Xenopus tropicalis: one gene and its partner. The protein of the gene in region 2 interacts with the protein of the main gene of each other region in a biochemical or structural test. Links are inferred from orthologs where the notes say so. Each region holds a gene or a part of one and is shown on either strand. Other genes may lie near its edges.

Evidence for each region.
Region 1: the proteins of cav1 (region 2) and ptgs2 form a complex in vitro, tested with the Homo sapiens proteins (2 studies listed by BioGRID). The link is inferred for Xenopus tropicalis from reciprocal best matches to the Homo sapiens genes CAV1 and PTGS2.

The regions. Positions count from the first base shown.
Region 1 is NC_030680.2:119,580,177-119,585,576, reverse strand, and holds the start of ptgs2 (prostaglandin G/H synthase 2 precursor), read right to left. Parts: upstream 3,553-5,400; 5' UTR 3,409-3,552; coding exon 3,354-3,408; intron 2,641-3,353; coding exon 2,524-2,640; intron 2,439-2,523; coding exon 2,295-2,438; intron 1,987-2,294; coding exon 1,843-1,986; intron 1,144-1,842; coding exon 962-1,143; intron 864-961; coding exon 780-863; intron 503-779; coding exon 256-502; intron 1-255. UniProt on the Homo sapiens protein: Dual cyclooxygenase and peroxidase in the biosynthesis pathway of prostanoids, a class of C20 oxylipins mainly derived from arachidonate ((5Z,8Z,11Z,14Z)-eicosatetraenoate, AA, C20:4(n-6)), with a particular role in the inflammatory response.
Region 2 is NC_030679.2:68,063,775-68,069,219, reverse strand, and holds the start of cav1 (caveolin-1), read right to left. Parts: upstream 3,476-5,445; 5' UTR 3,443-3,475; coding exon 3,413-3,442; intron 1-3,412. UniProt on the Homo sapiens protein: May act as a scaffolding protein within caveolar membranes. Forms a stable heterooligomeric complex with CAV2 that targets to lipid rafts and drives caveolae formation. Mediates the recruitment of CAVIN proteins (CAVIN1/2/3/4) to the caveolae.

The DNA.
Region 1 (5,400 bases), on a different chromosome or scaffold from region 2:
GAGCCAACCTTTCTGTTATTCCAATTTACAGTCAGAGCAAACTTTGTTAATCCCTAAAGCTTTACTTTGACATTTGCTATCAAATTTGCATCATAATTACACTAAGCCAATAAACTTATTAGTAGATACAAAGATCATGACTGTATAACAGCATAGCTGGCTACCAAATCAGCTGTGCCTGCCACAAGGGTATTAACGTTAAAATCTTCATCCATAGAAATGATGTGTTATAATATCTCTTCTATTTACACTTACCAATCAAAATAAGTCTTGCAGTTTGGAAAATGCGCTCATCGTCCCATTCTGGATGCTCGTTGGAAAGTATGTCGCAAACCCGATTGTGCTCCCTTAACCAGATGGTGGAGTACATCATCAGCCCTGGAACAAGGCCAAAAACCTCTTGCCCAACGGCAAACTGAAGGTGATCTGGAATGTGAGGTGGGTACACCATATCCACTCCTGTGGTTTTCACTGTTGGTGGGTACATTTCCCCACTTATCATCTGAAAGCAATGGTAAAAGATATTCAATTACATGTCTACCGTGTGTGCATGGCCCATTTCTACTGCCTCATTAACTGAAATGTCTTCTGGTGGGTAAAGTAATAGCAGGTGCAAAGTTTGCCCCTATTCTTTAAAATCACAACAACCAGACAGCACTGATTGGAAGCAAACATTTGGTTGCTACTAGACCTGGTGCAAAGTTTGTGCTTGTTATCATATCACCACCTTAAATTAAAAAGGTACAGTAAAGGGCTGCCAAATAATATAAGACATTTACCTGATATTTCAGTTTGCCACCTTTCATTAAACGCAGTTTATGTTGCCTTTCTAAGCTTTCACCATAGATATGATTGAGATCAACCTGTAAGAAGAGATGACAGGCCCAGTTAGTTTTACTAGTCTATAGAAGGACATAAACAAAATAAAAGAAAGGAAAGGAAAAAGCAATCTATCCCTTACCCCATGGCCCAATGCTTTGGTGAAGGCAGCCCCTTTGGCCATATCTGTTCTGAAGAACTGGTGTGTGAAGTGTTGAGCAAAAAAAGCAAACATAACATTGGAGCCTTGAGGGTCAGGAATAAATTTTCTTCGCATCAGGAATTTCTCCACTACCAACTTTGCACTTGGAAGCTCTTTCATTCCTGCACAAAAAAACCCAAAGGAATTGTCAAGTCATGTTAAAAATGAAATCAGATCTGTATTTGTTTGCCCAAAACCATAATCCTCTTATAAACAATTTCACGGCAATAAAATCCATTCCGTCTTGCATGACATTAGATAAAGAATTTAGACTCAAAACATTGATGTCCATGCTATGATTTATTGCCATGGACTTAAAAATTAAAATTCACAAGGATTTACTTGCAATATAATCTTAAAGAATAAGCATAAGAATAAGAATAAGAATTATACGAATAAGTGTGTTTCTACAGAGTATGGACTGCAATGAAGCACTGGCCATAATCTTTACTCTGAGCCATTTCATTTTATATGCTGTATTTAATTAACAACCCAGTATCCATGGTCCAAACATTCTAGGTGACTGAACAGGAATTTCTAGTGTGATACTACTCTGCCACCCACTAGGTTAAGTTCCCAGGCATGCTATAAAAGGTTTATTAACTGTTAACTGTATTTAACCCAGATGAATCATAGTGATATTTACAGCTGCACAATATAGGATCATAATTAGGGTTTATATTACTGTGTATTCTGCTTGTCTTTCAATAAGATGTAACCTTTTTTCCAGCATATAATGCTATTAGTATTTAAACCTCTGATTTAGTTATATATATATATATATATATATATATATATATGCACACCGGTATTTAACTCACCTTTAACTCCCATTGGGGTAGGGCAGTCACGTTCCACAGGAGGCAAGGTACGAGTATAATAGGACAGATTGGAGAATGCCTCCCAGCTTTTATATCCATAGTGGCTGTTATACGTGGGTGGGCTGTCAATCAGGTGCGATCGGGCTGGAAATACAAAGAACAAACCTTTACTGGAAGTAAAGCACATCTGACTTTTATAGTACATACTGTAGGTATGCATGTTCCTCTCTTGCAGGCGGATTTAGCTTTTAGTTTATATATTTTACTATGGAAAAGATCTAGTGCTCAAAGTATAGAACAAAAAAAGATTACTGGAAACAGCATATATTCTATGTAAAACTAGCCAAATAAATCTCAAGTCTCCCCAAGACTAATCAAGCCAATCAGAAGAAAATACTTTGAAACTCTTACAATTTCAGTTTCCCTACAGAGTGCAGTAGGTTGGTACTTACATGTCAGGACATATCGCATAATGGCATCCCTCAGGAAGGAAATATTGTTCACTATATTCCATAGTCCTTTGAAGTGTGTCAGGATATAGTGCACTGTGTTGGGGGCTGGCTTCAGCTTCAGCCTCAACCACGATAGGAATTCCGCTGTAAGGAACACAGATATGTAAGCATCATTTTTATATAAAGCTGAATAAATCCTATCAGAGGCAGGTCATAACTAAATACTTACGTTTAGTGCAGTTTTCTCCATAGAAGCCTGTTCTTGTGCAGTCACATTCATAGCGGTCGTGGCCAACAGTCATGCATACCCCCCGGTTTTGGCAGGGATTTGAACAGCATGGGTTTGCTGGGGAAATAAACAGCATGTTAATATAAATTTGTAGTAATAACAGAAACTTTTTTGTAGCATATTAAATCATTCAATTACAGTACAAAGAGTAGTTACATTCAGTTGATGCATTTCCCTCTTTCATTTTTTTTTTTTGTAGTATATTTGCTCAATATTACACTGCTTTATTTAAGCTTATCAGAAAATAACCCTTAAAAAATAACCAAGGATGCATTTTATAAGTCACAATATTCTGATTGTAAAGATAATATAGAACAGAAATCAGAACAGTCTAGTTGTAATCTACATGCATTAGAAATAGAAAATGTATTAATATATACACCTGGCTCCCTTGCTACTCTAAGGCAATAAATAGAAATCTGAGTATTTTGTGATCCAGAAAGGTGCTGCCAAACTATTCTCTTGTTTCTTAGCCATGTACAAAAGGGATAACCATACACTATGACAATTATTCAGATAATATTATTGGTAAATAATATTTTGGTCACCCCCTTTAGTCCCTAGTAGGTCCAGTTCCTAGTAGATGAAATGTCATCAGAGCCTAAGGAGGTAAATGCAGTATAAGGAGGTCAGTGTAGCCTGTAGCTACAGGATAGATCCCAATCAGATCTTGCTTTAAACCTCAGCTACTGAGTGTGAATCCGCGGAATGCAGAACAGAGATTCCCATAATGAAAGCGCTATGGGAGAATCCATAGAAGAGAGAGTTACCTGCTTGAGAGAAAACCAGCAGAGAGAGGAACACAGCGGCGGGTAGTACGATCATTCCAATGGAGAGCGAGTAGCGCAGGCGGGCTGTGCGGTATGTACCTTCTCTATCCCACTACTACTGCGGCTATACTACTACTTCTACTACTTTTTTTTACTACTACTTCTGCTACTGCTGCTGATAACCCGTTGCTGGGATCGCTTTAGCTCTTGTGTCTGAACTGGGAGCAACTTTGCGCCTCATTTATACAGAACAAGAAGGCGGTGACGTTACGAGCACACCCAATTTACGTTGAGCCTGACCCAGCCCCGACTGTCCCGGCGTCCAAATTTAGTTGCAAATTTGTGGTAATGAATTACCTAACAGAGTCGGTTTTATTTCATCATGGGGGGAAGGGGCCGGTTAAGGTCCGGTTTTAGTAGACAAAAGGCACATAACAAAGGGATTTTACTGTGTTGATAAATGAATTGAACCCAGACAATTAGTCAGTGGAGCGACTTGGCACCTGAGAGACTGGCGCACACAAAGCGCAATCTGTCTCCCCTGCACCTTGTACTTACCCTTTATTTGTTTAAGAAAATGATTTTACAGAGCTACAAAGAGCAGCTGTTGCAGGCAACCAGGTATAATCTGCAGGATAGTGTGCCCCTATGTTCCTGTAACAAGGTCTTCCAAACATATATTGGATATATTCCCTTTAAATTGTTGGGATCTGTTGCTGGTGGTAAGGGGGAGAGGGTTAAACAATATATGTATAGTATATATTATTATTGCCTATCAATGTGATATAGCTTTCTATTAGAAAACAATGGCAGAAAATGTATAAATACTGTCACTATAAAGCATAAAAATATTTAAAATATTGTTATAACAAATGGGTCAGGTTATTTCATTTTTTCTTTTCCATTATGTGGTTGTTAACTAGTATGCAATTATTTTTACTTATATAGCTGCACTTATGCACACAGTGCTGTACAGCAGGGCAGTAAATTAATAGAAGAAAGGAGTCATTACCATAATAATACCATTGAATATTTACATTTAAAATTAAGCGCTAAGGGCTCTGGTACCTGTTCGCGGGCGACTAATCTCCCCCGTGTGCCAGAGCCCTATGGGTGAAGACACACAGAGCTACTAGTAGCAGCTACTAAAATAGACAATGCTGATCATTTGCTGATAACTGTCTCTACGTGTGTTTTAGAAGAGGCAATTCTCAGTATTGTCTATGGCAGGGGATTTTCTGGTGTAGCTCTGTGTCTCTTCGCCCTAAATAAGTGTCATTATGTAGATATTGATTTATTTACTTTATTTGTATACTTTATGAAGACAATGAATCTTTTGCTTGTCAAAGAATTTGCCTGCCCCCTGCCAATTTCTGCACTGTGTTTTTTTTTTATTTTGCTGCATAACTGTTTCTGGAGTTCAGCATTTGACCAGTGTCCCTTTAGCTGAATGACTAGTTTACAGACATTTGAAACCAGTGATGTAGTGATGAGCCCCAAGAATATTTAGGACAGCAAGTAAGTGCTCCCCCCAATCTCATTCTAACTGACCTTCAATCTGAAACTCCAGGAATATATACAAGAATAAATAGGCAGTATCCCCAAATCTTACCCTCAAGCAGGGTCCCCCAGAAAAATCTGTTTCTAAAGGATAAAAAAAATCAGGTGCTTCAGATCAGCTTAGTTTCTGGGTGGATCAGTACAGTTATGTTATAGCTATTCTATATTTTTTTTATTTCAGATTTATTGATGAAAGACTAAAAAATGTTTTTCACGATCAAATCTCACACTGGGCTGTCTATTGGGGCTTCCAAGAAGGGAGCCATACCCTGGGACACATAGCTGTTGGTAGCAAGACTGTGAAAGCCAATAATGTACCGTAAATGTACCCTGTTAGTGTAAAACAGCTGTAGAAGTAGAAATATTAATCTCTGGCAAGGGAGTTATGGCTGTAGGACAGTAGGTATATAGTTGGCAAGATGGTGACACTAAAACAAGGTGGCAATAGTAAAATCTTTCCAATCCATGGCAAACATATAGCATGTGT
Region 2 (5,445 bases):
CTGTTTTATTATTACAGAGAAAAAGGAAATCATTCTCAAAAATGTGAACTCTTTGTTTAAAATGGAGTTTATGGGAGATGGCCTTTCCGTAATTCTGAACTTTCTGGATAATGGGTTTCCGTATAAGAGGTCCGATACCTGTACTATGTATTATTCCATTGCAAATGATATTCAGATCCCATAAGGTTAATGGCACACTGCCTTCCTGCACTCTGTAGCACTATGGGAAGATGCTAAATCCTTAAAATGCTCTTCCCATTCACTTTAAATAGGGCTTGAGCATAGTGGGAAACAAAATGCTCAGAATCACAATGTTTGCCATTATTCACATATTGGACATTACATCCCCCCAGTGAAATAGATTGCTAAGTTTTTTTCCCTAGGCTGGTGCTCCTTTTAGGAAAGAACCTGTGGAAAAAATTGAGTGCCACACTGTCATCTCCTTCCTTGGCACTTGGCATTCTGCACATACGCAGTAGAGTAAAATCTCGGGTATGCACTATTGCGCTTGCATGAACAGGAATTAACACTGGGGATGCCTGGGGCCGCAGTAGAAAGTGGAGTAAAATGTTGATGCATCGCTCCAGTTTTTTCCGCAGGTTCCTAGCAGGAGCACTTAGTGATCTATTTTATATTAGCGACCTAACATTTTGGGTTGAATATTTCCTGACCCACACATCACTAGTCCACTGTAGACCTCACTCCTAATTTTAGTCAATAACAGGCATGCAGTCAGGACCCTTTCCTTTAAGTACCATTAAGAATGGTGACAAGCAGACAAGGCATTCTATACCCCTGCTTCTTTCTGATGGATGGTAGCCATGGACTAGTGATGTGAGTTTGGGCAGGCCAATCACTTTTTTTGCTTGTGGCAGGTGAATGGAGGGCCAAACTATTCCCACGCCCCCCTCCCCCCATGACATCATTATCTCTTTTGCCCACCTGCTGTTGCTCTTATATATGCTCTCCCCCCTCCCTGCTGACTTCAGTTATATCAGAGAGGGGCAGGCACGTGTATATAAAAAATTACAGCTGGCCGGATTGGGGCAGGTTCAGGTTTGAAGAGGGCAGGGTTAAGTCAGATGTGGTGGACACTTTTTCTGTAACGTCTGATGTGCTATTACAATTAGGGCTGTAGGGCCCATATCTAAATAACATAATATGATGAATAAAATGGTTTGGTATAGGCATGAGCAGATGAAATACTGTCAAACTGGAGAGACCATCTTCAACCAACAGGATTGCAAACTGGCCAGTTCAGATCCCCCCCCCACCTGACATATTTAGATGTTTAGGTAGTGTGGTCAAAATCGTCCAAACTCCCTGACCAGATCTGGTTATGTATAGCCAGCTTTACACACCTTTGGGATGAAACCATTTTGTCTACAAAACAGGATTAGCGATGCCAAGAAATATTTTACAAAAGTTGGACATCCTCAGGTTATACTTCTCTGTCACATCATTTATCTGGTTGCCAACTGGGAACCTCCCGTTTTCCTCTGCCACAAGCCAAGCACTGAACAATACAATTTTTGTCTTTTATATACAGTGTGTCCTACTTCTCCCTTGTTTTCTTCCAAAACACATTTTTCCTATAATTTATTCAGGTTAATAAAATTGATTCAGAAGAAGCAAAAGAAGTGCATAAAATGATAAGAAACAAAGTCATAATTATGTACAGTCAGCAGATGTGATAATTCTGCAGTGGGCAATGTAGGCCCTCCACAGACATATACTGACGGTGCTTGATCTTTGCACTTTGCAATTATTTTTTTTTTTAATTTTAAATTCTGTCTTTTACTATTTAGGCCTTTGTCTATTGATCTTTCATAGTGACGTTAAAAAACACTGATTGGACCTAGTAACCTAGATTATAGTTTAAATGGCAGATCATAAAAAGCACATTAAATGGAACTTTAGTTTAAAAATCAATTCATATAGTTAATTTTAAAGGTTCAGTAGCGATTTAATTCACTGAGGGATGCCTAACATTTTGACTCCTGCTCTTTTCAGAAATCCATTAAGCCATCTCCATGTCTACATAGCATTGCTAAAACCATCTCCTGACATGCCCCTAATAACCAGATCCTTAATTCCTGTTTAGGCTCTTAACACTGCCATGCAATATCCTCCTTCAAAATAGATGCCTTTATGCTTCCTTCATCCCCCAGTAACCTCTTTCTACATCTTTTGTGCTTTCTTGTCTATTGCTAGAATCAGACTCTTCTCTTCCATTCAGTGGCATCCTGAAGGCCCATTTTTCTTAAAGAGATACTGCAACCAGAAATGAAACCCTTTTTGCAACAACATTGTCTTTTTGTTGTCTTTGGCTTTTTTTCATTACACATCCAATCCTCATGTTCCTATATGAGGGGGCTGCCACATTTGTGCAGCAGGAGTCCATTAGCATTAGAAGCTATAACTGACAGGTTGAGAAGGTACAGTCAGGTTAAAAAAACAGGTTTAGGAACTTCAAGTAACAATTACTTACAAAAGCAGCCCTATCAGTGAAAAACGATCAACGTGACCTATAGGTAACTTTTTCTCGTTGCGATTATTGTACATCACATCTGTCCCTCCATCCATAGTGTTATTAGACTGTACATGTGAATAAAGTGTTACTTTAGCTGTGGTCCATGATTCTGGCTGCCTTCTTTCCATATGTGTACAGTGGAAATCCAGCTAAAACCACTAACCAGAGGCATTTTGACACACCACTATACATACCTCACCTACATCCTAAAATGGTACTGTATACACATAGTATGTATTCATATGTAAACTGATATGTTTCAATAAAGTGCGAGTCTGTGATTATTTTACTGTGTAACTGTTTGTGAACAGCAGTAGTTCTTTAGCACAGGGTATGTAATCTCCAAGCACTGTAGTATGGCAAGGTCCTAAAAAAAAGGCTTTGGCATATGTTTTCCAGCTGCTGCTGAACTACATCTCCTAGCATGAGCCCACTGTCTGTAGCTGTCAGTAATAACTGGGAAGCCGCAGGTTGTGAATCTTTGTGTAAAGCCTTGTTTTAAGCAGGTTATCAGTGCATTCAAGTACCAAGCACAACTCTATATACAGAGCCAAGTAACATTCCATCTCTTACTCCCCCAACACATTTATTATCCATCAAGTTATTTTTTAGGAGGTAACTTTTTCCTTGGCATGCAGACTGGTAGGGAGGGTAGGGAGGGAGTCCAAAATGGGCTGTACCATTTTTTCAGGGGGTTCTGAGCCTGAAATCTGTAGCTATCACCAGTTGCTATGTAAGTAAGTGGAAGTTACATGTAATGCAATATGCGACCACAAAATATAGGTATACACCTAAAGTGCAGTCACTGCATACTGTCCCAGGATTAACTACAGTGCATAAGCTAAGCAACTCCCAGTTATAAGCAATGGCCAGTCCTACCTCTTCATCTATGTATTTGCCACCAGACATGCTGTTCTTCAGTTGCTGGCTGCTCTGTTTGAGATTTCAGGGAGTTATGATTTAAAAGATTCCAGGGAGGAAGATAGTGCATTGTGTAAAGGCACAGCTAGGAAGGAGGGGAAGGAGGTGGCTGTGAGCAGGATTGTTGCTGGCCAGGCTCCAATGTTTGTTCTGCATGGTTTGGGCTTGGATGACAGCCCTGTTGAACTGAGACACATCCCCAGGGCTCATGGAACACCAGCCTTAAATTGGGTGCTGGAAGCCACAGACTTCTGAGTCCACCCTGTGCAATGCAAGAGGTACAAGGCATTGAAATCCAGGCATACACTGCTGCACACTGTTAACTTTCCTAAAACCCCAACAGCTTTCAGTGTGTGCTTTCCATTCTGCCTTTCACACCTAGTTCTGACAAAGTTATGAAACAATAGGAGGAAGCCAATTATTAATAATATTTCCAAGCAACACACATGATTTATATACACTGGCAGCAATATTTTAGAAGTCTTTAAAAAATATTGTTGTCTAAACCATAAATATTCTCTCTTTTTATACCTCCTTTATTTACAGCATTGATGTGGAAATATATATTTTAAAATATCACCCTAAATAAACATCGCCTTCTACACAATGCTAGATTCAACCTTGGTGTTGTAATAGGGGAAGCAGAGGATGAAAGCAATTCTAGAATTTATAGTTTCATATCACACATTGTAAGGAAAGTAATAGAATCACAAAATATGAAACACCTAAAAGCCAGTAATTTGCAGGATCCAAGGCAGCATGGATTTGCCACTGGAAGATCATGTGAGACTAAGCTGGACTATGACAGAGTGTATACATAAGAACACAAAATGCTTAAGCCTTTTTCGTGATGAGATTTTTTTTAAATGAAGCTACACTTTTACCCGACGTTGTTGGCAAGACATCCAGTTTCTGCCTGCCTTCTGTGACTTAAGTACCTGGACCCAATATATTAAGTGGCGAGTTTACTCCACTGTTATAACTGGTATAATTTTTCATTCATTGAGTTGGACTGGGTAACCAAAATGGTAGACTAGGGTGAATTTTCAGCAAGTGTTTTGATACTGTCCACCACAATATGTTGATTCAGGAATTTCAGTGTTTAGGGTTTACAGGTTGTGACAGGAGCCAGAACATTATTGTTAACGGGGTAAATCAAAGGATAGGAAAGTGTTGTTACATTAATTTAATATTATTATAAATTATATTAAATATGACATATAAAGTAAGGTGTGTTTCTTTGCAGATGACATGCAATAGCAAAGCAAAACATGCAAAGCAAATATAAGCACTTAGACATTCAGAATAAATCAACAGATACTTTTCTACTGTTGGAATGCAATTCTAAATCCAAAAAAGTGCATTTTTATGTATAATCTTACATGTAAACAAAAGATGAATGTATAATACAGCCCTTTTGTTGTTGAGCTGTATTTTAAGTTGGGAATAGAAATAGACAGGTTACAACAGGAATGCTAAAGATTACATAGACCTAAGGCAATTTCCTATTACCTTCTCTCACAAAATGTTCATGTGTCCAATTATTTACTCATATTAATATTAGTTGTTTTTATCACTACTTTTTCATTTTGTTGATTTAAACAACTGAGCAACAACATTCACCTACAACATATCTATCGTGAGTTGAATGAGAAACTGAAATTAATAGGGTTGGGTCTAAATAGAAAGGTAAGTTAAAAAGTAACAATAACAATTAAATTGTAGCCTCAAAGAGCAATTGTTTTTTGGCTGTCGGGGACAGTGACCCCTTTTTGAAAGCTTGAGTTAGAAGAGGAATGGAAAATAAATCCTTGTAAATAAAAAAATACTATAAGTCAAATACACATAGTAATACAGGTATCAGACCCCTTATCCAATAGACTCCATTGTAATGAAATAATTCACATTTTTAAAAATGAATAATTTTTCTCTGTAATAATACAACTGTACCTTGTACTTGATCCCAACTAAGGTATAATTAACCCTTATTG